Linked DNA regions of Oreochromis niloticus. The protein of the gene in region 1 interacts with the protein of each later gene in a biochemical or structural test. Links are inferred from orthologs where the notes say so. Each region holds a gene or a part of one and is shown on either strand. Other genes may lie near its edges. The genes, in order: bmpr1ba and bmp7b.

Region 1 (11,154 bases):
TGATGTTATTGTTTTTGTCTTCGTTATAACACTTTTACACATTCAGATGGCAAAAGCAGCTGTTCTTAAACACTGAACACTAACAAATAGACTTCTTCTTCTTTGCTGGCTAAACATTCATTGTATTACATTTGTTTTGTTTTTTCCCTGTGACTGACAGTTTTCATAAATGAGTGTCTGACCTTATAAGATATTTAACTACACTGTCAGCGTAACTATTACTATGCGCTACTGTTTATGTCATATATAAAGAGTAAAATGGGTTCTAATCCTAATTTTAAATTCATGAATGCAAATGCTGTTAGATGCACCATTCCCACAGGTAAAGCAAACCCTGAGCAGATTAAACATGTTGTTCCACGTCTGGCCAGGCGAGACGAGACATCTGTAAGTAAAACTATCACACAAACAACAAAATGCTCTACAGCTGAGAAAAAACACACTAACAACAAAAATTGCAATTTACATTACAGACAAGCTAGTGTTGTTATTGTTATATTTCCTGCAATTTTTCAAAACATTTACAAAATAGAGTTGTATAACCACGTAATTATTCGTGGTGATTTTTTTTAAAAGACAAATCCTTTTTTGTTTTTTTAAGAGTTTTTGGAGGGTAGCTGTTATGGTGAAAATCAAATCTGTAATATAATCTAACATAATTAAGGTTAAGCAGTAAATGTTTCCAGTGTTTGCCGCTCCAACCTTTTAGAACAGAGCCTCAGATCGGATGCTATTTAAGGCAGGCTGGGCACAGTTCATTATCTCAACCCTAGAAGCAAAGAGGACTCTGAAAGAAAATCCAAAATTTAGAATGTTTCAGAATTTGAGTAGAGATAAATGCTCAAATGTTTCCATAAATCACACTGACACTGTAATTAAAGAGCGTAAGGTCTTTTGGGGGGAAAAAAGGCTCCAGGCTAAGTTCTCTTATCTGTTTTTGAGTCTTATCAACTCCATCAAGTTGAGGAAATTAAATGTTAGAGAAACTAAACACTGCACTATGGTTCACTTAAATGATTGTTTACACTCTGATTAACCCTACTGTCATACGCATTCTTATTTAATGCATCGTAGGTAATCTGATTCGTGTAATTAGGGATTTGATATTGTTTTAAATCAAGACTGTCGTTAGCATAATAAAAGGAGAAAGATAAAAGCAGCGAGGTTTGGCAAGCAGCCACTGCAGAATGGAATGAACAAAAATATCAAGGACATGGCACATTTCTGTAAATCTGACCTCATGCCATTTACCCCTTTGCTCTCACTGAACACTTGAACAAATCAATTTTATGAGCTCCCACTATTGCATCATGGTTTTATCATTCCTTTCAATAACCCCTATTTCATCTGGTTTAGCTTCATTTTTTGATGCCTACGCATAAAAACTACAAAGCAGTACTTCTAGTTTTACTTTGCCTGCTCGGTTATGGACATAACATCATCAAGAATCTTTAACACGAATGTTCGCTGAGTTTGGAAACTGGGATTTTTTGAGGGGCATGCTGAGTCTACTGTGTTCAGTGGGTGTCAAAAGTTACTTCACTTGACTGCATGGCATGACATGGATGGCGGTAATCATTTTGCATATAACATCCTAAAACAGTCCCTGTCTCCAGTGTATTTTTTTTATATGCCCAGTTGCAAAAACTTTGTATTCAGCTGTTTGACAACGGGAAAAAAATACATCATAAAATAAAAACAGCTTTGACAATTTGCCTGCATTTAAACGTACCACACATGCAAGCACAAAATAAAAGAGACAGGCTTACATCTACCGACTAACACAAATACTATGCAATCTCACGGATATGTTAAATAGGGCATGATGTCACCCTTTTGAATAAGCTTTACTTTCCAGTGCAATTTTGCAGCACCTCTTCCTTCCTAAGTGTTGCACTTATCTTTTTTTCTAGGCAAGCACAAATTCAGTTTGTTTTAGGCAGATTTGGTATTCTTAGAATGTAGATTAACCTCAAGCAATGTGATCTAAATTTCCAGCAGTAAGCACGTCTCACATCACGAGGTGTCTAAAACTGTTAAGTGTCCGATATTTCTCTCTCTCTGATGCACACTCACACACACACATACACAAGGACAGAAAATTAGGGAAGCGTTCTGTTTACAGCTGCTGTGTAAAACTCAATTACACAGCCAATTGAGAATGTGGCTGTTTCTCAGATTTATGTGATGTGTTCCTGACCTAAATAAGATTGCTGTTCCAAGTGAAGCCTCAACAACTGCAAACACTTACTACTTTGACAGACAAGGAAAACAGTACCTTCACACTGACGCACAGAGGCGCACACACATACACACACACCCACACACATACACACACATCTGGACCTCTGTTTCTCTCATTTATACTTGCTGAGTGCTTTCCTGCGCGGTTTCCCCGTGTTACCGGTCCCGGACCCCTCAGATGAGGTGAGGTAAGATTTGGAGTCACAGGATTATGCCATCTGGACAGACATTCACACAGGCTTGCTCATGTGAACACATGCACACATACAGATATAGCCTGCTCTTGTCATAAGCTACACTGACAAACACCTGGACCTGGTTACTGGTCTCAAAGAGAGAGCTGAATACTATGTGCATGCCTATGTGTGTATAAGTGGGGTGTATGGGGAATACTGGGGCAGTGCTGGAGGCTGTGTTGAGGTTCATTTGATTTTTTTTTCCCCCCTGCTTTTTGAGCCCTTGAATAAGGGGGCCCACTCAGGCAAGTCTAGAAAATTCAAGTTGGGTCACTGCTACTACAAGTTGTAAGCCAATTCTATTAAAATATTCAATCGTCAGCTGTCATTATAATATATATGCTTTTCTTCACACAATTGAATTTTCCCTCTTATTGAGAAACTAATAACTTCTTTTTAATTAATGAAAAAATCTATAGGGTTCTGCATTGATATAGAACATTTGAAAAAGACAAAAGCAAGCCTTATATTTGTTTATTCCACCATAGTCTGTCAGATTTTTAATTTGTGGTCATCCCTCTTTGCCCTCAGAGCATTTTAGCAAAATGTTGCCCTCCCCCCCAAAAAAAATAGAATATGCAGCCTTAACTGGCAACAGCAAAGCCTTGCAGGATCTGTATGCAGCAGCTGTTATTCACTGTGTTGGTGACACAGATCTGTACCTGGTCATGAGCCTGCACCTTGTGTTTTGGCAGTGAACAGGGAGAGACTGATTGAGCTGGGTCCACCATACAGTCATCCCCACTATTCAGAACAATTCAGTGATTGAGACCACTGTACCACCAGGGCTTTTCAACCATGTTAGCATGTGTTTGCTCACTGGTGTGAGACCAGAGCCATCAAGCCACCATTCTGCCAACTGCAGGGCATCCTTCTATTTCTTCAGGTTTTGTTTGAGGTTAAATTAAATTGTTTGCAGCCGATGATCATGCATAGCTATGTGAGCCTCTTACTTTCCCCAAGAGTTTGCGCCTGGGATTTACAGTCAAGGGACGTTGAGCTGAGCTGATTTTATGGAGCACACAAAACTGATTAAAAGGATTATACAGGTCCATCACACTATCGAAGCACTCCACAATCAGATCAACCAGACTCTGGTGGAACTTAAAACACTCGGTCCTTCACCTATTCCTATTCTAGAAGAAGTTTCTAAATTTGTGGACAAGCCACAGCTGGCACAACACATTAAAGGAAAAGTTCCATGCATTGCAAAAGGGACTTGCACCAAGCCTCTTACTAGAGGTATCATTCCAAGGTGGGATCTGAAGACACTTCCTCTCTTTCAAGCCATGAGTACTGATGGGACTGGAGAATGACCTACTCATTTCACATGCCACAGCTAAAAGCTTTGGTTTTGTCCTAGTGTTTTCTGGTGAAATTAGCCAACAGTAAATCCTGTTACAGGGCTGTACATGAACTCATAGAACTGGAGTTACGTTAAGTAACTACTATTTGCACACTGTACAGATGAATATTAAAGTACAGAACAAGAAAAGGAGGGATAAGGTACGAATCTAGAATCCATCATGCATTCCTCTGATAACAGCACATATTATTGATTGTTAAGAAAAAAGAAGTTGCGCTCTTGGCTGACCGCTACCGAGTGTTATTTAACATGTAGCTTAATTTACTTTTCACTTTTGGAAAATACAGACCAAGCAACGCCACAGAAATCCCAATCACGTAAAGTGTAACGTAAACACCGCTAACAGAGACATGGGTAAACTATTAAAGCTCCTCCTAGCGCTTAAACTTCTCTCTCTTCCATCACATTGTGGCTCAGGAACAGCTACGCAGTGAGATAAGCCTCAAACGCTTCCAAAATAAACAAAAATAAGTCGATATGACGTGAATCTGACTGTAAACACCCCGAAAGAAACGACAAAAAACGCTCTGTCAAACTTCCCAAGGTGAATACAAACAATTGCGACTGAAAAAGATCTCCGACTCGCGTCTGCTTCGAGTTTACTCACCTTAGGATGCTTTCTGGATTTCTTTTTCTCGACTGAAAGGAAAAGTTGCAGCCCACGGTACTCAGGGTAGAGACGCGAGTCACTCTGTTTCCAAGGGTAGCTTTTCTTTCTCTCGCGCTTTTCCCTCGCTCTCTTTACACTTAGACACACACACACTGGTCTCACACAAGACTGTGTTTCTCCTAAGGTCCCTCAGCTGCAGGAGGGTGATTAATGCCACAAGAGAAGGAGTGCATTAGCAGGAGAAAGGTGAGTGAAGACTCGCACTGAATGGGTTCCTTAAAACCACTCCAATAGGCTAGTTGTTTAAGGAACACCTAAAACACAAATGAACTCCAGTCTAATTAAAAAGAAAAACAACATCCAGGCTTTGTCGCACAAAACAGTGTTTTTGTTGTTTTGCTTTCCGAGATGTGAAATTCTTAGATTTTCCCTTATGAACTTTTTAAAATTTGATGGAGTTTAAAATGAGTCTTGTGTGACAAGAATATCAAAGAGGCCTATATGCTAAGGATTATACATCATGGTACAATAACAAGTAAACATTAGCTCAGCAATGCTAAATCAAATAAGTAAGCTATGAGCTAACTCCTTAAAATATGTTACCATCAACTATACTGGATAATTTTTCTGCCTGACTCATGCCCCATCAATTGGGACAGCGTGTAAGGGTCAGTGCTGGGTTTGTTAATGTGTCTTATATACACTCAATAAAAATCCCTAAACAGTTATCTCATTTTCATCGTTTTCTACAATAACAGTAAAATCAGTTTGATTGTGCAAAGATTGGTTTGTATTAAAAAGGCTGGTTGTATAGAGGACGTGGGAATAATGTGTGGTGATGTGCCCTACATACCACTGTTTACTACCTCAGTGTCGCTCACATCCTTTCAACCATATCTTTATTTCTCTGTCTGCCTATTTTAACATTTGTCAGCAGCACAGATGTGTTAAAATTCCTCTTTTGACAGTGGTTATGACTTCTCTACAATCGTGTTAACATAGTTTCATTTGGTTAGATAGCATTACACTATAAAGAAATAGCAGACATAAAAAAAAATTTGTTTTGGGCATAAAGGCACACCATTTATTTAAAATCCCAGATCAACTTTAAGAGTTCCAACAACATTTTTGTACTTGAGAATTTAGAGACTGAACACTTTAATCATGCCTATTAGCCCCTTACAGTAAAAAACAAGATTTATAATTATAAGAAGTCAGTGAAAGAGTGCGTTGTCATTTGTAATAGCATTGGGGGGAAAACTAAATAGGCTGGATGTATCCTGCACCTGTATCCTGAGTAGACAGTCACAAAACAAGAAACTACCCTCCATCCATCCATTCCCTGCACCAGTTTCTAAAATAACAACATTCTCTGCTTAATGTCATCTCAAACATTTTTTCCTCTTCTAACTAAATTTAAAAAAATGCGCTTTCTAAACAGAGCTAAACATCTGAATGAAGCATAAGGAGAAGTGTATGAAACAGATATTAAAGCAAATATATTTTCTTTCTAAATCATGGCAGAAAATAACTAAAAATGGGATTCATGAAACTATGAGAAATGTCAAGAAAGATATGTTGGTCCACATAGCAAGGAAGAAACAGGGACTTCTATATACATTCACCAGACACTTAAATATTCACTTTAATTTTTAACTGCTTGTTAATGCAAATCTTTCATCATACATTAAGATGCTAGAAATAGTCAAGGTAACTTGCTGAAGATCAGAATGGGGATGAAAGTTGATTTAAGTGACTTGAGAGCATCTCTGAACTCGCAACATGTCAAACCTTGAAGCAGATGGGCAACAGCCCAGTATGGATGTGCAGTCGCCAAATCTGCAACTGTCGGATGTTGTCATGTCAATATGGACCGAAATCTCAGAGGAATGTTTGCAGCAACTTGTTGAATCAATGCAATGAAGAATTAAGGCAGTTCTAAAGGCAAAAGGGGGTCCAACCCAGTACCAGCAAGAGGACACTAATGAAAGCTGGTGAAAGTATCTATGAAAAACATTTGATCATTTTTGGTGTTCAGGTTTGCTCAAGTGCCTTAATGTCCTAGCCAGTTTCACTCAACAAATAGAAAATGAAATCAAATTTCCTTAAATTAAAACATTCAAATAACTGATTAAATCAAAGGCAGCAGCTTTAATTACAACTCGGACATTCACAGATGAATTGTATAAAGCAAATAACACAAGCATATCCTGCAGTATTTTAATGCATATACTGGGAATTTTTTTATAGTTGCTTGTGAAACTGTAATGCAAAAAACAAAATAAAACAAAGTGTAACACAGGACGTTCTACAGTTTTATCTTTAAGTCTTTATAGGTTTTAGCCAGATTAATAAAATTGATTACAACTACACAAACACTAACAAATATCATAACTAACAATAAAAACTTGCCAGCATCCTTGAATACTTAAAATTATCAAACATTTCTGGTGGTGTCTAAAGATAATGAGCACTCTGCAAGCTTAATAATAAAAACAGAGAGTGAGATGATCTCACCACTCAAGACAAAATTCAGAAGAACAAAGTAAATGATAAAGTAACAGTCCTATGTGTGAGGAAATAAAAATGGCATTATGGTACATAAAATGTATCAGTTGGTAGTAAAACCTTGCTGTTTGGGGATGATTGACAACATAACATTTAGTTTACAAAGATCAGTTATAATTGATTGAAATGTTGTCAAAACTAAGATCCTTAAGCTTTATTGCTTTTTGTGCTAAGAGATAGCACCACTACAATAATGACTACTACTGTCATCATAAAAGGTGTCCCCAACCCTCTGTGAGACAACATGTGGCCAAGTGAATAGTTTAGGCTTCATATCTTCAGTGTGTGAGCATGCTTCTTGCAAAGAGGTTTGTCCTTTTTGGAGAAGAAGGTCTGGCCTTCCAGTGTGGTACAGCACACCTGTAAAAAGCCCAACACACATGAATAATAAGAGATTATATAACAAAAGTTAGCCAGCCTACACTAAAGCTCACAATGGATGTAAGTCAGTGTTTCATCTAAAATAAGCACTGCTGTCATATTATTGTGAAAAAATGACTTATGGTGAGGTTATGAGATTGCAACAAGTAAGCTATTCTGCTAAAACCTCCATCACAAAGGATGGATAAAAATGAACATTGTTGTAGTACATTAACAATAAAAAGAAAGAATGACAGAAAGAACTAAATAGGGCCAGTAGCAGAGAGTAGCACTATGACCTCAAACTTCTTTCTGTGTCCAAGTTAAATAGATAAAAGTTTCTTGATGGTTCAAAGTTGGAAATGGGATTATGAGTAAATGTGACAGTAGGTCGTATGTGTTAGTCTGCTGATGGACTCAGTTTACTGTGACACATGCCTGAAGTCTTTACTTACAGCACATACAAAGCAGGTATCATGCCAGGTGTAACCAAGGGCTTCCAGGAATTTGTCTCCAGCCTCGATGGGAAACTCACAGCCATGACAGCCAGTCCCAAACAAGCTGTAAAAGTCTGTTTAGTGACAAAGAGAAAAGTCATGTCACTATGGTATAAACAAAGGGTTTAAAGTCATAATGGCAAGACCCAAGCAAACTTTAGTACTCAACAAAGAGAGCTTGTAACTCTTTGGGGTACAACAGGTTCACCCACACTCCAAATACACGCATGTTAGGAAAACTGGTGATTCTAACTTCAATTCAATTCAATTCAGTTTTATTTATACAGCGCCAAATCACAACAATAGTCGCCTCAAGGCACTTTATATTGTAAGGTAGACCCTACAATAATACATACAGAGAAAAACATAACAATCATACGACCCCCTATGAGCAAGCACTTTGGCGACAGTGGGAAGGAAAAACTCCCTTTTAACAGGAAGAAACCTCCGGCAGAACCAGGCTCAGGGAGGGGCGGCCATCTGCTGCAACCGGTTGGGGTGAGAGAACGGGTCGCAGTTCTCTCATCCCATAGGTGTTAATGCAAACATAAACACCTATAACTTGGCTATAGGTGTTAATGTTTGCACGAATTGTTTGTTGTCTCTCTGTGTTTGACCTGCGATAGACCGAAAACCTGTCCAGGGTGTACTCTGGCTCTCACCCCACAACAGCTGAAACTGGATATAAAACACATTGCGAGTGAGCAGCAATCCAACTGAAGCCCACTTTTATCTTTTATCTATTCACAGACTGCTGGATTTTTTTTTTTTCTTTTATTCTAGCAAAAAAACATTGTATACCGCTACCGCTATACTGTCCTACATCAGGAAAATGCTGATATTCAGTACATTTAACACTAACTCATCACACACACTGCTTACCAGTGATCCACTGTGAATCAGCAGGTGTTGTTGTTTCTGATCCTGTTGTTATTGGTGACAATGAACATCGACACTTGACACTAATTTTAGGGGTTGATTAATTATAATCAATCCATCCATGCTTTAGTAATAACTAGCAGTTACAGCCTGCTGGGCTGAGTGAGCAACACCAATGATAACCACTGTACAACAAGTTTTCTTTTTTTTTAATATATTTTATATTATTTTTGTGTTGTCAGTAAAACCAGAGAAGTGTTATTAATGTAGCTTACCACTGACCATACACTACCTACATGCTTCATAAAATGGAGTTAAGATGTTTTCTGATTTCTTTCATTTATTTCAGCAGATGCTTTGAACTTGATTATACCATGTACAATGAGTACAGTGGCAATTACAGGAAGTACATCTGGATATTTTATCAACCCCATTATAACTCACCCGGTTCACAGTATGGTTCTCCATCCTCCAGGTGGAAAGTGTTGTTTCTGATTGGTTGCTGACAGTAAGCACACAGAAAGCAGTAGACATGCCAAGTCTGCTTGAGGGCATTTATCACCTCCTAAGGGAAAATGTAAACAATGTGGCTAGTAAGAGGCATAATATAGTTTTAGGTGCATTAGTGTATATAATAGAAACTGGAAAGCTATATCCACTTTAACAGGAAATGGAGGTGCAGCATCTTATGAAGGGATGTTATCATATTACATTGCTGCTTATGAAATTTTATTCACAAAGTCACAAATTTTTACGCAAATCTTTGTACAACTTTTACCAGAGTAGGTCATTTTATTTTTTCTTGAATATCACCGGTTTTTTTTTCTCTCTCCTTGGTCTCCATGACCTACACCGATTTCTTTCCCACCCGTAAACTGTGAGAGCAAGATAAGACAAAGAATCGATGGAAAGTTGGCGAGCTGAACTAAAATGAAGGATTATGAGCGAGGGAGTGAGAAAACAGGTTAATAAGAAGCCATAAGCTGTTTGAAGATGTGTGAGAAATAGAGGGTTGAAAGGGATTTAGGCCACAGGGGTTAGAACACGTGAGGGATGAATGTCATAGTAGCAAGGAGAGCAGAAATTTCAGCGTCCTGACACTCTGGGTTCAGGCTACACCTACAGCCTCAAGGCCTCTAAGCCTAATTCTCCTAACACCCAAAAATCTACTGCATTCCTGAGTTTTACTGGTGGTCACCGTAGATATTCCTCTGCACATTCAGGCTTCCTGCTCTGGTCTTTTATGTATTTAAAAACTGTCTTTGATGTTGTTCCATCTGTACTTTTTAAGCTTTTCTGCAAGTAGGGAAATAGGGAAATAATTACATTCCTGTTTTAAATGAATACTTCTGTTAGAAGTATTAATCTAAACTCTAGACAATAAGTGAGTGTAGTGGCTGCGACTCAGGAGGTAGAAAAGGTCATTTACTAATCAAAGGGTCAAGTGGTTTGATCTCCGGCTACTCCATTCCACATGCCTAAGTGTCCTTGAGAAAAATACTATGCCTATTGTCTGAGTATCAGCATAAGTGCATAGAATAAAACATATGAAAAGCCGAATGTGAGTTGTAGAATAACAAGTTCTATGTGCTAAAGTGCTAAATATAGACACCAGTGCATTTGATCATAAACAGATTTCATAATAAAGGAACCTCATGTCCCAGCGAGCAGGAGGTTTACACACAGTATATACAGTAAATATCTGCATGAATATAGATTTCAAGTTTTAGAGCTACTAATCATGTTTACACAGTGTTGTATAACAATTTATTTACTGCAGACAGTAAAAATTCTTTTGTCTTAGCAAAAAAATATCTACATAGTAAAGTAACACAAAAACATATATGAACAAAATTGAGATGAAATGTGTGACAAGCTTCCATCAATTGGATCAGGTGAGTGTTCACTCCAAATATACACATCAAGACCAAGTCACTCATTACTAATTTTATCTTAATGATTACAATAGTGTGCAAAAAACCCAAGCCACACATCATGTCTTTATTTTAGCTTAAAAGGACCCAAAACTTGCAGTTATTTCAAATCTAAACACATAATAGTTCTCCAGGCTTTCTGAAAGTCTCTCAAAGGTTTCTGTTGGACATTGGCTGCTTTTTCACTTGTTTTCAGTCCAGTCCTCGTATGTTACCATTTTCAGGGCAATGTTTTTGTCTGTATTTGTGTTTTTTGTTTGTTTGTTGAACAACTTAACACCAAACACAGTTTGGCCACAGTTATGTACATAATACATAATTTGCTTTGTAGTTGACTCTATGAAATACGATAACACAGTTTAACAGACATAAAATAAAAATTTTGTATCAACAAGGTGATTCCTAAAACGTCTCTCCAAAATAGAACCACAAAGAACTAATAACTCTATACAGTAGTATA
Region 2 (11,336 bases), on another chromosome or scaffold:
GTTTTGCACGGAGCTGATCAATTTCGGAAAAAAAATGAGCCGCACGGGATTCCATCACGTTACCTGTTACTAGATGTCATTTTATCTACCTGCATGAAATTCCCGCGTAAGGATGTTTTACGGAAATCTCGCGCGTTTTGTGTCGATCACGTAGTTCAGACCTGTAGTATTTGTTTTGAATAAATTAATTTTCAACAATTATTCTGCCCTAACAATTTCTAGATGGTATTCAAGCAAAACCGAGCTAGTAAATAGATACATTGCGAAAGTAATAACAATTAGTAATAGAAAAGTGATTAATAATAATAAACGTTTTTAAATTAATATGATTTTTGAAAGTAAAATAAAGAAAGAGGTGTCTCCTAACACTGTCACGCCGTTTTTAATGACCGATACTAAAAATTAAGCAAATAAATAAATAAATAAATAAATAAAAGTGGTGCTGCTTCAGACTTATGCGATTCTGATAAACAGGCAACACTTACATTCTCCAGACTTTTTTTTTTTTTTTTTTTTTAAAGGGTTTTTTTTTAAAGTGGTGTTAAGCAATAGTTCTCTGGGCTTTCTGAAGGCCTTTCAAAGTTGTTCATTGGCAATGGCTGTTTTTTGTTAGGTCACTCAACAGTGACCTATGAATCATTCAAGCATAAAAACTCACTTATGTCAAGAGGTGGAACAGTGTTGTGCTGACACCTAACAGACATCTTGGCAAAGAGACAATTTTAAACTGTATCTTTAGACACTTTAGATACTTCACACATTGTGAAGTAAATACTTTTCAATTTCTTCAGTTAAATTTAGGGAAAATCCAAAAGACAACACGGTTTGAGAGACAGAAAGTACCATTTTTGAACGAACAAGGTGATTGCCAAAGAGCTATTAACTGAAAACATAGAATATCTCAGTACTGCGTGCATTGTGACCTTAAAAAATCTGAGGAAACTGGACAAGTGGTGGACAAAAGAAGTGGCAGATCTAAAAATGATCTAGAGCAGAGGAACGGCATATGAGAGCCATATTCTTAACAAATAGGAAAAAAACTAATGAATCCAATTTTTTTTTTTTTTTTTCAAGATGGTTCAAATCATCATCAATATGTATGGAAGAGTTGAAGAGAGAGGTGTCTGAAGCCATCTGCAAAACAAGGTGTTGGATATCCTGTCAAAACCGATGAAATTATGAATGCAGAAAAGTGTTGTGAGATGTTAATCAACCATGCAATACGATCTGGAAATTGCATGACACACAAGAACTTTCTTTTTTCCACATGACAATGATCCCAAACACTGCCAATGCAGTAAAAGCATACCTGGATAGAAAAACACATAGTGGAACACTATGAGTCATGCATTGGCCTCCCCAGAGCCTGGACCTCATCATTATTGAAGCAGTGTGGAAAAAAGGCATCATTTTGATAGAGAACAGAGCAAAAGGCAGCCAACAACCAAAAAGAGCTTCAAGAAGGTCCGTCAAGAAGCCAGAGAACTATTCCTGAATACTATAAATATCATAAGAAAGCTTGCCTAAGAAAGTTCAGGCTGTGTTGAAGAATAAAGGGGGTTATACCAAATGTTGACTTTCAGCTGGTTAACTGCACAAACTCTGTTTTTGCTTTGTAAACTGTATCTCTGTATATGTTTGCACATGTTTCAATTAATCCCTTCATCTATTTCCCATTTTCCTACCAAAACATAAAGAAATGAGGGGTGGCTCAAGTCTTTTGCACATCACTGCATAAGCTTAAAACTTATTCCTACCAGTCTTCCCGTTGAAGATAAAGGTCAGTGATCCAGTGTGTGTGGGCCAGTTAACACCTCGTGGTGTAAATTAGGAGGCATATCCTGGTAATCTAGAAAAATCCGAAACAGCACCCTATGTGACATTCATAAGGCCGTGTCGCTGAGCTTGCTGCTTTTTGTCCAAAGGTGTGTCGTGTGTGTGTGTGCGGTTTCAGTAGGGTGGGTGCAAGTTTAATTGGTTGTGGTTAGCGTCTGTGAGAAGCCAAATATATATTGTTTCTGTTAGCCATGTGGAAGTGATTTTTAAATGTAATTTTGATGATGGCTGTGTGCGTAACGATAATGCTGGCCAACATGTGTTTTAAGGCTCTCTTAAATGGTACAAATGCTGCTCATTCTTTTGTTAGGAGCTCAGTTTACTATATCAGACAGTTATTGCCTAATTACAGCTGTTTTAAGCTACAAACATTAAAAAGACATTAAATAAATACGACACCCTGAGGAAATTGCACATTTTACTTCATAAACAACCTTTCAGAACCTGTTTCTGTCTCTTGGTTGCATTGTGCTGCAGTCATGTCGCTTCATTAAAGCAGAAAAATGTGCTTGGATTTTACAACTATTAGGTCATCAAGAGTCCCCACCTTTCAGAATTGCTGGCAGGCATGCTGCGTGTGTTTGGAGAGGCGCTGTGGTCTTTTTTTTCCACAGTGTGAAGGCCTGCTCAGAGCGTGTGGGAGCCAGGATCTAAAGAGAAGAGGTCCGTGCCCCTGACCTGACCCTGAATATTTTCTAATGTGCAGCTTTACCAATGGTCCCTCTTTCCCCTGAGTGACTTTGACAAGCTGCTTCCGTAGTAATGTCTCTTAATTTCTGAGTAATTGCTATCTCTTAGTGATGAGGAACAACCCCTCACCCAAGCTGAAAAAATGTTAATATGTGGAAGACCACAGGTTGCCGGGGTCCTTTTTCTTCTGTTCCAGAAAGCCCGAGACCCCTGCTGTTCCTTTGGCCCAAGAGAGATTTGTGTCGAGTGTGAGGCCCTAACCTGAGGAGACAGAGTGCAACGAGTCATGTGCTTGTCTCGGGATGAGTGTTTGTGCTGGGCAGGAGGGGGAACATGGGGGAAGTAAGGGGCTGCAGGGTCAGAGGAAAGAAAGGGGGGGCACCCGCTGCAGGTGAGGGGGATTAGCTGCAGCTAGAGGCCCAAAGAAACTAAATACAGATCTGTCAACCTAATCCTCACAAATAGAAAACAGAACCACCCTCCCTTCACAATCCACATTCAGCTCATCCACCTCTTGCTCTTCTACCCCCCACTACACGCCAACCCTCCCACCTCCCCTCCACTTACTACCTCAGGCTCTGCTGCTCCTCTGTTTCTCATCAGTTTTTGGCCAGTCTGTGCTGCCTGCTCTCTAATGGCTCCTCAGACCAGCATCCCCTAAAGAGGGGCTGACTGATCACCCAGGGTCCTCTCTGATTGACAGACCAACATAGCCTTATGGAGTGATGAAAGCAAGAGTCAAAGGGGCAAGGCCTCTCGCTACACAGACAGGAATCTTAATGGGACCTCTGTCGAGAGTTGCTGAAACTGGGTGGACATTTATCAGGCCCACACACCTCAGTAATGGATGCCGATAAGTGTGTGGCTGGGTGAGGAAACCAGTGTCAAGCCTGGACTCTGTGCTGATGACACAAGTGACAGGGCGCCTGAGTGATAACATCCTATAAAGGATAAGCTCTACTAAGCTGGGCGTTATAGAAGGCTTAACTAAAACGGTATCTCTGATTGTCAGCAACACCAACTATAACTGATGGGTCTGGCTGGACTGCTGAGAGCTATAAATCAGGTTCAAGCTGCTCTGGTGATCCCAAGTGTGATATCAGCTTGCAGACAAACATGGGGTGGCAGGACATACCAGGTTGAAAGAAAGCAGTGAGTGATGGAGAGGAGAGCTGCAAGGTGCACTATTTCAAATAAGATAATCACATATTCCTCATTCGAAAATATCTGCAGATCATTTGGACGTGTCACAGTGTCATGAAGCTCATATATACCAAATTAAATTAAAGAACGACATAAGGGTTGGGTTGCAATTGCCAGTTCCAAATTATATGTAACCTATTTGTTATTGCTCAAGTCTAATAAAAGTCCTCTTGAATTTTTATCGCCGCCCTTTTTCATGATTATTGTACCTGGCAAAACATTACGTTTAGTTGTTAAACATTGAGTTTTGGTTCTTTGGTTGTTGAGCTTTACAATGTGAACTAGTTTGAAGCTGTTTCATATACCCACCCCCCTCTTTTCTTCTGCCTGTCTCACAGCTGTGTCTCATATGTTCATGAGGCCCCTGGAAGTGTGAGACACCAGAAGGGGAACATTTGCAATAGCTCTGCTCCACCTGGTTAGGCTGTTTTAACAGGCCGTCGGTTTGTGCAGCGCACACAGTGGGGTTACGCCAAAAACATAGACGAAGGAGGACAGGACCAGCAGACGAGGGAGGGGGCATGAGCAAAAAATGTGCCTCCGCCGTCTTGTGTCCTGGCACCCCGGCCCTACACTTCTTTATTTGAAGGTCAGTTTACCTTGAAAAAAAGTTTTACTGTATCGTCTGTTGGTCTACTTGGTCAGACCCCGCCCCGCCCCTCTTCCACCAAACCTCATCCGCCTCCCTGCATGCACAGGTCTTCAAAGGACTACTGCCTGCTGCTCTCTGAGGCAACACATGAAATAAATATTAATCTGACCTCTGACCGCATGCTTTGAGCTCCTAAGCAGAGTTAAACAGAAAGAGCATCAACTCTTGTCATAGCTAAAAAGAAGTAAAAAGAAAGAAGCAAAATATTTTGAAGTGTTACCTGGGTGCGAAAGCATTTCCAGGTATATTACGCTGCACCGCTGTGTGGTCTTCTTTGGAGCTTTGCATCATGCTCCAACCTGTTGGAGTGTAGTGGGGAGGTGTTTATTTGCTCAGATCCCCTAAGATCATAGTGGAAAGAGCGCATGTGTGTGTGCAGTCAAAATGCTCCAGGCCAAATGCTGGGTTTTAAAAGAAAAGACCTTTTGAGTTTACCATTATGAGCTCTAATAGAATAGCCCTTGTCATCATGGCTGCACAGCTGTTCAACTCAGCAGAGTTTTCTTCCTGAAAAGACTTACTCAGGTACACTGCATGTCTACGTGTCTACTTTTTTCAGCAGCTAAGCAGAAATGTTCCGTGTATGTTTTATTTTATTCATTTATTTTTTAACATTTTCTTTTACAGGCCCAAACAGAGTGTCTCACAATTTGTCTGGCTTGTGTATTTTAGCCAAAATATTCAATTTAGTGGGACACACTTGAGACAAGTTGTGGCTATTCTTTTGGAAGTTTGTATGTGTGTGTGTATGTGTGTGTGCATTACTGACAGGATATTCAAACACTGTTTGTTCTACTTTTCTACTAGTCCCCCTTGTCAAAGGCCCCTTAGTGCAGCTTACCCTGCCTGGCCTCTGCCTGTGCCCAGTGTTTACTGGGACTGTCACCAGACTCATGGAGGCCGAAACAAAGGGGGGTCTGTTCTTATTGTCCCGTCCAGGATTGTCAGCCCTTCTCTGGGCACAAACTGAACTGAGGGCTGGGGGCTGTTTGAAGAGCACTGGGGGCATCTGACCTCACCAGACTTACAGAAAGGGCATGAGAATGAAACAATGAGAAAGTCAAAAGAAAGTGAGAAACAGAGGAAGATGTATAGCTATAACCCAGGACCTTTCAAGTCCTCTGTCGGAAACTGCTGTTATGTAAACACCTGCAGCCATTAGCTGATTCTATCTGAGGCACCGGATAGAAATGTTTATATGTTACATACTACTGAAAGGCGAGTTAAAAGCAAATAGAGTATTAGATATACAAAATGAGTAGTGGCAGGCTATGTAAGCTTTAATGCTTTAAGCCATGTTGAATTGTCATTGGAAAAAAGAGGAGTGGAACGCCTTTGAAGACAAGAACAACCACATTAAATGGGCAGGAAGGTGAGCTAAGACCCCAAGACATGCTCTACCTCCTTTCCTCCCTTTCCTCTGTTTGCAATCATAGCTTAAGCTGTCTGGCAGCCTCTCTTGCTGTGCCATTGAAGTCTAATTTTATTGTCATAAAAATCACCTGGCAAGCTGTAGCCTGAAGACCCTTTGAAACTCCCCTCTCTGTGCAGTGAGTACTCTCTAGATAAAGCAGTCATTCTCGGGCCATCTGAAGTCCCTCCGCCTGTGTCAGTGAGAGCAAAGCGCACATGAGGGTCAGGAGCGTTCTATTAAAGTGTGGTGTTTAAGAGGTGCTGGTGCCAGGGGGGCAGATGGAGGAATGAAGCAGCTGCCGAACATCTGCACCCCTCCTTTGCAGTCTGAGCCCTGTGCACTGCTGCTTTTGTCACAAACTTCCTGCTCTAGCTCTGGGGATGGAAAACTAGGATATCTTCAGAAATGCAGCGTGAAATGGCAGTTGTGGGGCTGCAGTACAGCCTCTTTGACATCAAAAGATAACAGGCTTTAGAGTCTCAGAGCCACATGACCCAAGGCATTCAGAGAGTGCACCTGCGGATCAGCCAATTAACTATTGTAATGGCAGGACTGCAACTACATGTTGCGACCTCTCCTACAGTACTGAAGTATTCACTTGCAAAGTCAAATAAGAACTCTCTGATATGAAATCAGCCTTCCATATGTACACTCACCATGAACGGTCTGTTGTGGCTGTCTTAACATCAGTCATTAGTGAATTATCACGAGCCTACAGGTACTAGGAAATGTGGAAAGCATTGACGAAATGTGGTGTATAATAAACTGAAGCGTCATAATACAAATCCAGTCCTAATCCTTTTCTTATTTGCACATGTAGCCTCAAGGCGTTCTCCTACTGGCAACAAAGCCAGGCTAGCTCTGCTCAATAAGGCAACCACAACATTCTCTCTCTCTCTCTCTCTCTCTCTCTCTCCCTCTACTCCTCTTTGCAAACAGCGCCTCCTCAAAACTTGTTCTCGTCTCTCCTAGTGAAACCTGTCTGCTTGCAGCCTCCTCTCTGCAGTTGCAGGCTGCACTACAGCTGGTAGAGCTTGACCACAGGTTGCGCATGAGGACCGAGGTCCACGCGTCCAGGAAAGCAGTCAATAAAAGGACTTTGAAGTGAAGTTGATGTTTCACTCGGCAGCACTTCCCTCAACATGAGGGACCGTAACTGATTTTGGATATTAAACACAGAGTGCCTGCTGCTAAAAGTTTACTAACCATTTTTTTTTTTTTTTAGAGTTTCGGTGATCCGAATTGGGCGCAATTACGCACTGCGAGCATTATGGCACAGATTTTGGATAAGCGTGCTCCCGTTTTGCTCTTGGTTTGGAGCTACTGCGTCCTGGCAAACACTGCCTTTACGAACTTTACGTTGGACAACGAGTTTCACTCCAGTTTCATCCACCGTCGGCTGAAGAGCCAGGAGCGCAGAGAGATGCAGCGGGAGATCCTGTCGATCTTGGGACTGCCGCACCGGCCGCGACCCCACCTCCATGGAAAACACAATGCTGCCCCGATGTTCATGCTGGACTTGTACAACGCCATGTCTACAGACGGAGACGAGGACAGATACTCCTACCCTTACAAACCCGTCTTCACCACACAGGGTCCACCGATAGCCAGCCTGCAAGACAACAACTTCTTAAACGATGCAGACATGGTCATGAGCTTTGTGAATTTAGGTAGGCACTTTATTTTCTTAAGTCTCCCATCAAATTCAGTTTTATATAAATCCCCTCCCAGAAAAACAAGACCGTAGAGAATAATAAACACGTTGAAATATTATCAATGTAATCGTTGTTATGCGCGTCATAATAACCCAGGTCTTTTATTTGATTAATAAAATGTAGTACTATTATGACTGTCTTTATCTATTAATTATCAAACACATAGCAAGGACTTTGAAAAAAAAGCTTTTTTAAGGACAGATATCTTTGGCTTGACGATTATAAGTGTTGAGAAGTTTCATATGTTAATTCGCGTCGGGGTTCTTTTTTTTTTTAACAAGGAGATTTAGTACTTTTAATATTGCACTCTGCTTGATACATCTTACACATTGTTTTTGGGACAAATCAGGCTTTTAGTCATATGATATGTAAGTGTCAAAGGTGGAAGAGCAGAATGACTGTGGTGGTATTTTATATTCTCACAGTGCTTCACGTAAAGAAACAGCACAAGTATTTTTCTGATGGTACACCTGTGTCCACACAAAGGAGACCAGCACAATAACGACGTTTACATACTGCAGTTATCTAGCTAATACCAGGAGTGGCACATTCCAGTGTCCTTCTCTGTTAAACAGCTGTGCAACCAGCTAATGTTCAGGTGCTGTTCTGTGGATGATGGACCAGACAGCAGCTAACTTGTCAGCCATGTGTTATCTAAAGAATGAGTAAGTCAACAGCAGAATGAGTTCAAAGTGCACTGGGTCCTCCCTTAACTCTAATCTGGAGACATCCCTCACATCACAAATAATGCCAGCCAGTGATGTTAGTTTAGTCACAGTGTGATTTAATTAGATTCAGTTGTTCACAAAATAAATATCAGTGGCATAGGACATACTTCACATCAATTAAATTGCTTTGTTGAATGTTGTTTCCTGGCCCAATGTGCTTATCTAATCAAATATGTTTATTGAAATCGAACACTCCTGGATTTTTTATTGCTGCCAGCAACAGTCAGAGGTTGTTAAGTGTAAATAGTCAAAACATTAGCATGTGGTATCAGATTTATGGATTGATAAAAGCATCATTATAATTCAATTTACTTAACAAATTATGTAGTCACAGCAACAGCTCCATTTATGTTCCAGATGAGTAGCTTTTACATATCAATCTGGGACCAGACAGACATAGAAATAAATCAAATCTGTAGGAGGCATACGGATGGTTACAGTTTTTGTAAGCCAATACATTTTTTTTTCTTGACTTTCTGCAAGCAGTGAGACATTTACATTCAATCCTGGAAAGATCATTGTTGGAGTGTCTTGGCAAGAGAGAGGGAGGTGACACTGGCTCCTCCACTGCACTGTGTAATTACTGTGGGAGCTGCTGCATTGTGACTATTTTTGACAGGCTGTGACACAGATGGATCTGACCACAGAGACTCAAGACACAAGTCAAGGGCCTCGCAAAGTCAAGGGCCAAGACGGCACTAAGATGGCGAGAAAGAAGGGAGCAGGGAGCCTTTGGCAGAGTGATAAAGTTCCTCTGTCTATTTTGCAAAGGTCTTTTTAGCAAAAAACTTTTGCAAGATGGCTTACATCAGCTAGGGAGAACTTTTTTATTTCCTATGTTAACAAAAACAAAGTCACACTGCCCTCTTGAAATCTTGTGGCTAATGTAATCACTAATGGCATCTGCTCAGGTTGAGTCTTCCTCACAGCACGTATTTAGTCTTCCCTCAAATGACACTCATTTGGATATAAACAGCGCATTCATGATTTAATCTGCCACGTGTTAGATCTATCAGTAGGGTCCATTGTTAGGCTGGTTCCGTACTCTCATGTGATACCATCAAATAGACATCCTGGTGGCTTTATTCAAAACAGCAGATAATATGCAATTTCGTTACCCTTTACACGAAAGGGAGGGAGGGAGAGGGAATTCACTGAGAAGAAAGTGATGGCTTTCAAATGGATTGACTATTTCCTCTCCAAATTCCTTCCTTTCCACATTTGCTCGTTGTGGTTTTTGTTTTCTTATTTAGGTTGTCTGAGAGCAAAATGAGTGTAGCTTTTATTTAAAAATTGTCCCTCAAAACTGCATGTCTCCATAGCTACTGAGCCAAGGTACATTAGTCAGACTTTGTACCCTGGGTGCTGCTTCCTGAGAGGCCTGTTTTCATGCACTGTTTGCATTTAAATTTATGGTCAAATATGGGAAAATGGATCTGATTTTAGAATTGCCATCAAAATCAAAGATCCCTGAGCTACTAGAATAGTCCATAGAATGTAAAAGAATTGTTCTAGCTCTCACTCTTCCTTACTGATTGCCACTCAACGGAGCTGATACACTTTGTTGTCAGCTTGTTTGAGTATATGCAGAGACCAATGCAGCCAGCGAGGGTGGGTGTGGGCTTTGGGACAGACCTCAGGCCAGGGAAGTCCTCTCTCTGAGTCACTTCAGTTTAAAAGGCCAGCTGTGTAAATGACTTACAGCATGCATTCAGAATGCATACTGCTGCATGGAGCGCAGCTCACCCAGGTCCTGGGTGTGTGCCGCACATGCTGTTGTAGCGCACCAGAAAATTAGCACACTCACCCTGCTGTCATAGCTAAGTAACAGTAATGAATTTTACCTGAAATGCCCATTTACACATCCCCAACCACAGGAAAGGGCCATGACTTGGCTGTCTGCTATTTGCATCCTGGATGACTTAAAGAGAAGCAACATCGTCACCTGTGCTGTGTGTGTGTGTGTGTGTGTGTGTGTGTGTGTGTGTGTGTGTGTGTGTGTGTGTGTGCATGTGAAGAGGGAGGTGAGGGCATAGTCTTTTACTGCATGATGTTTTCACGAGGTGTGTTAGTCACAGCGCCCTTATTTTTCCTGTTCTCATGCAATCACGGATTAATGTATTCTTATGGGGCTGTGAGTCAATCACGGTGCTACACTAAGGCAATCATTTAGTGGAAGCTACATTTAGCAGATTCATATGGTGATGATATGGTAGTGTCATGTTATTACTCCAAGTTAAGACCAATTTTATCCTTTGTTTTTCTAATTGCCAGCAATTCTTAAAGTTCTGGCATGTCTGAGTTTAGTTCCTGAATGTCCTACCCTGCCTGTGGCACCCAGCTTCATGCCTATTAAGTCCAACTGAAGAGGGTAATCAAAGCTACACATTCACATTTTGTTGTTCTCAAGTTATATCCCTTTAAAGTTTTTACAAAAACCATAAAGACTTGAACGCCCTATCAAACTGTGGCTTTACAGATAATTCTTCTTAATTGTGGCAGTGTTTGCAAAGTTGTCAACTTGTTCGTCTGTAGGATGTTTTCAGCTGGCAGTGTAAGGTCCAACACTGTAGAATTGGCATTTTGTTTAAAAAATTGATTTTTTTTTTGTTGAAGGAAGCTTGGTTTACTTCAACAATCCTTTAATTACTACTTGAAGCCACAGATGGCGCTGTTACCGTTTTACAGTTGAAGTTTCGGTAAAAGTTGCTATAACTCCTTTTTGTGTCTGCTTGTAAGGCCTCCCTTTCTCTGATTGCATTTTCTTTTCCTCTACCTTCTCTTGCTCTCTCATGCTGGTCCTGTGGATCTGAGACACTTCTGCGACACCTCAGGCTTCGGAGCGGCAGCGGACAGATCTGACGGCTCGCATTAGCCCAAGTGTCTGTTCGGCACCCTCACACCCCTCAGTCCTGCTTTGAGCGCTTCCGCTACTCTGCAGGGGGTATCTCACCCCAGCACCACTCTCCCTAGAGTTAACCACCACTATTTGCACCTCCTTTAGATCCCTATAGAGCTCATTAACTCTAATAACACACCTGGTACCTAAAACCAGATATGCGTAGTCAGTCAAAAGGGGCTGAACGAACAAGACTGGA

What was found.
Region 2: the proteins of bmpr1ba (region 1) and bmp7b form a complex in vitro, tested with the Homo sapiens proteins (2 studies listed by BioGRID). The link is inferred for Oreochromis niloticus from reciprocal best matches to the Homo sapiens genes BMPR1B and BMP7.

The regions. Positions count from the first base shown.
Region 1 is NC_031977.2:20,492,453-20,503,606, forward strand, and holds the start of bmpr1ba (bone morphogenetic protein receptor type-1B), read right to left. Parts: upstream 4,706-11,154; 5' UTR 4,454-4,705; intron 1-4,453. Other genes in the region: pdlim5a (PDZ and LIM domain protein 5a), read right to left, coding at 7,295-7,384, 7,840-7,955, 9,205-9,325. UniProt on the Homo sapiens protein: On ligand binding, forms a receptor complex consisting of two type II and two type I transmembrane serine/threonine kinases.
Region 2 is NC_031984.2:13,768,029-13,779,364, reverse strand, and holds the start of bmp7b (bone morphogenetic protein 7b), read left to right. Parts: upstream 1-6,747; 5' UTR 6,748-7,065; coding exon 7,066-7,465; intron 7,466-11,336. Other genes in the region: meiotic recombination protein SPO11, read right to left, coding at 1-55. UniProt on the Homo sapiens protein: Growth factor of the TGF-beta superfamily that plays important role in various biological processes, including embryogenesis, hematopoiesis, neurogenesis and skeletal morphogenesis.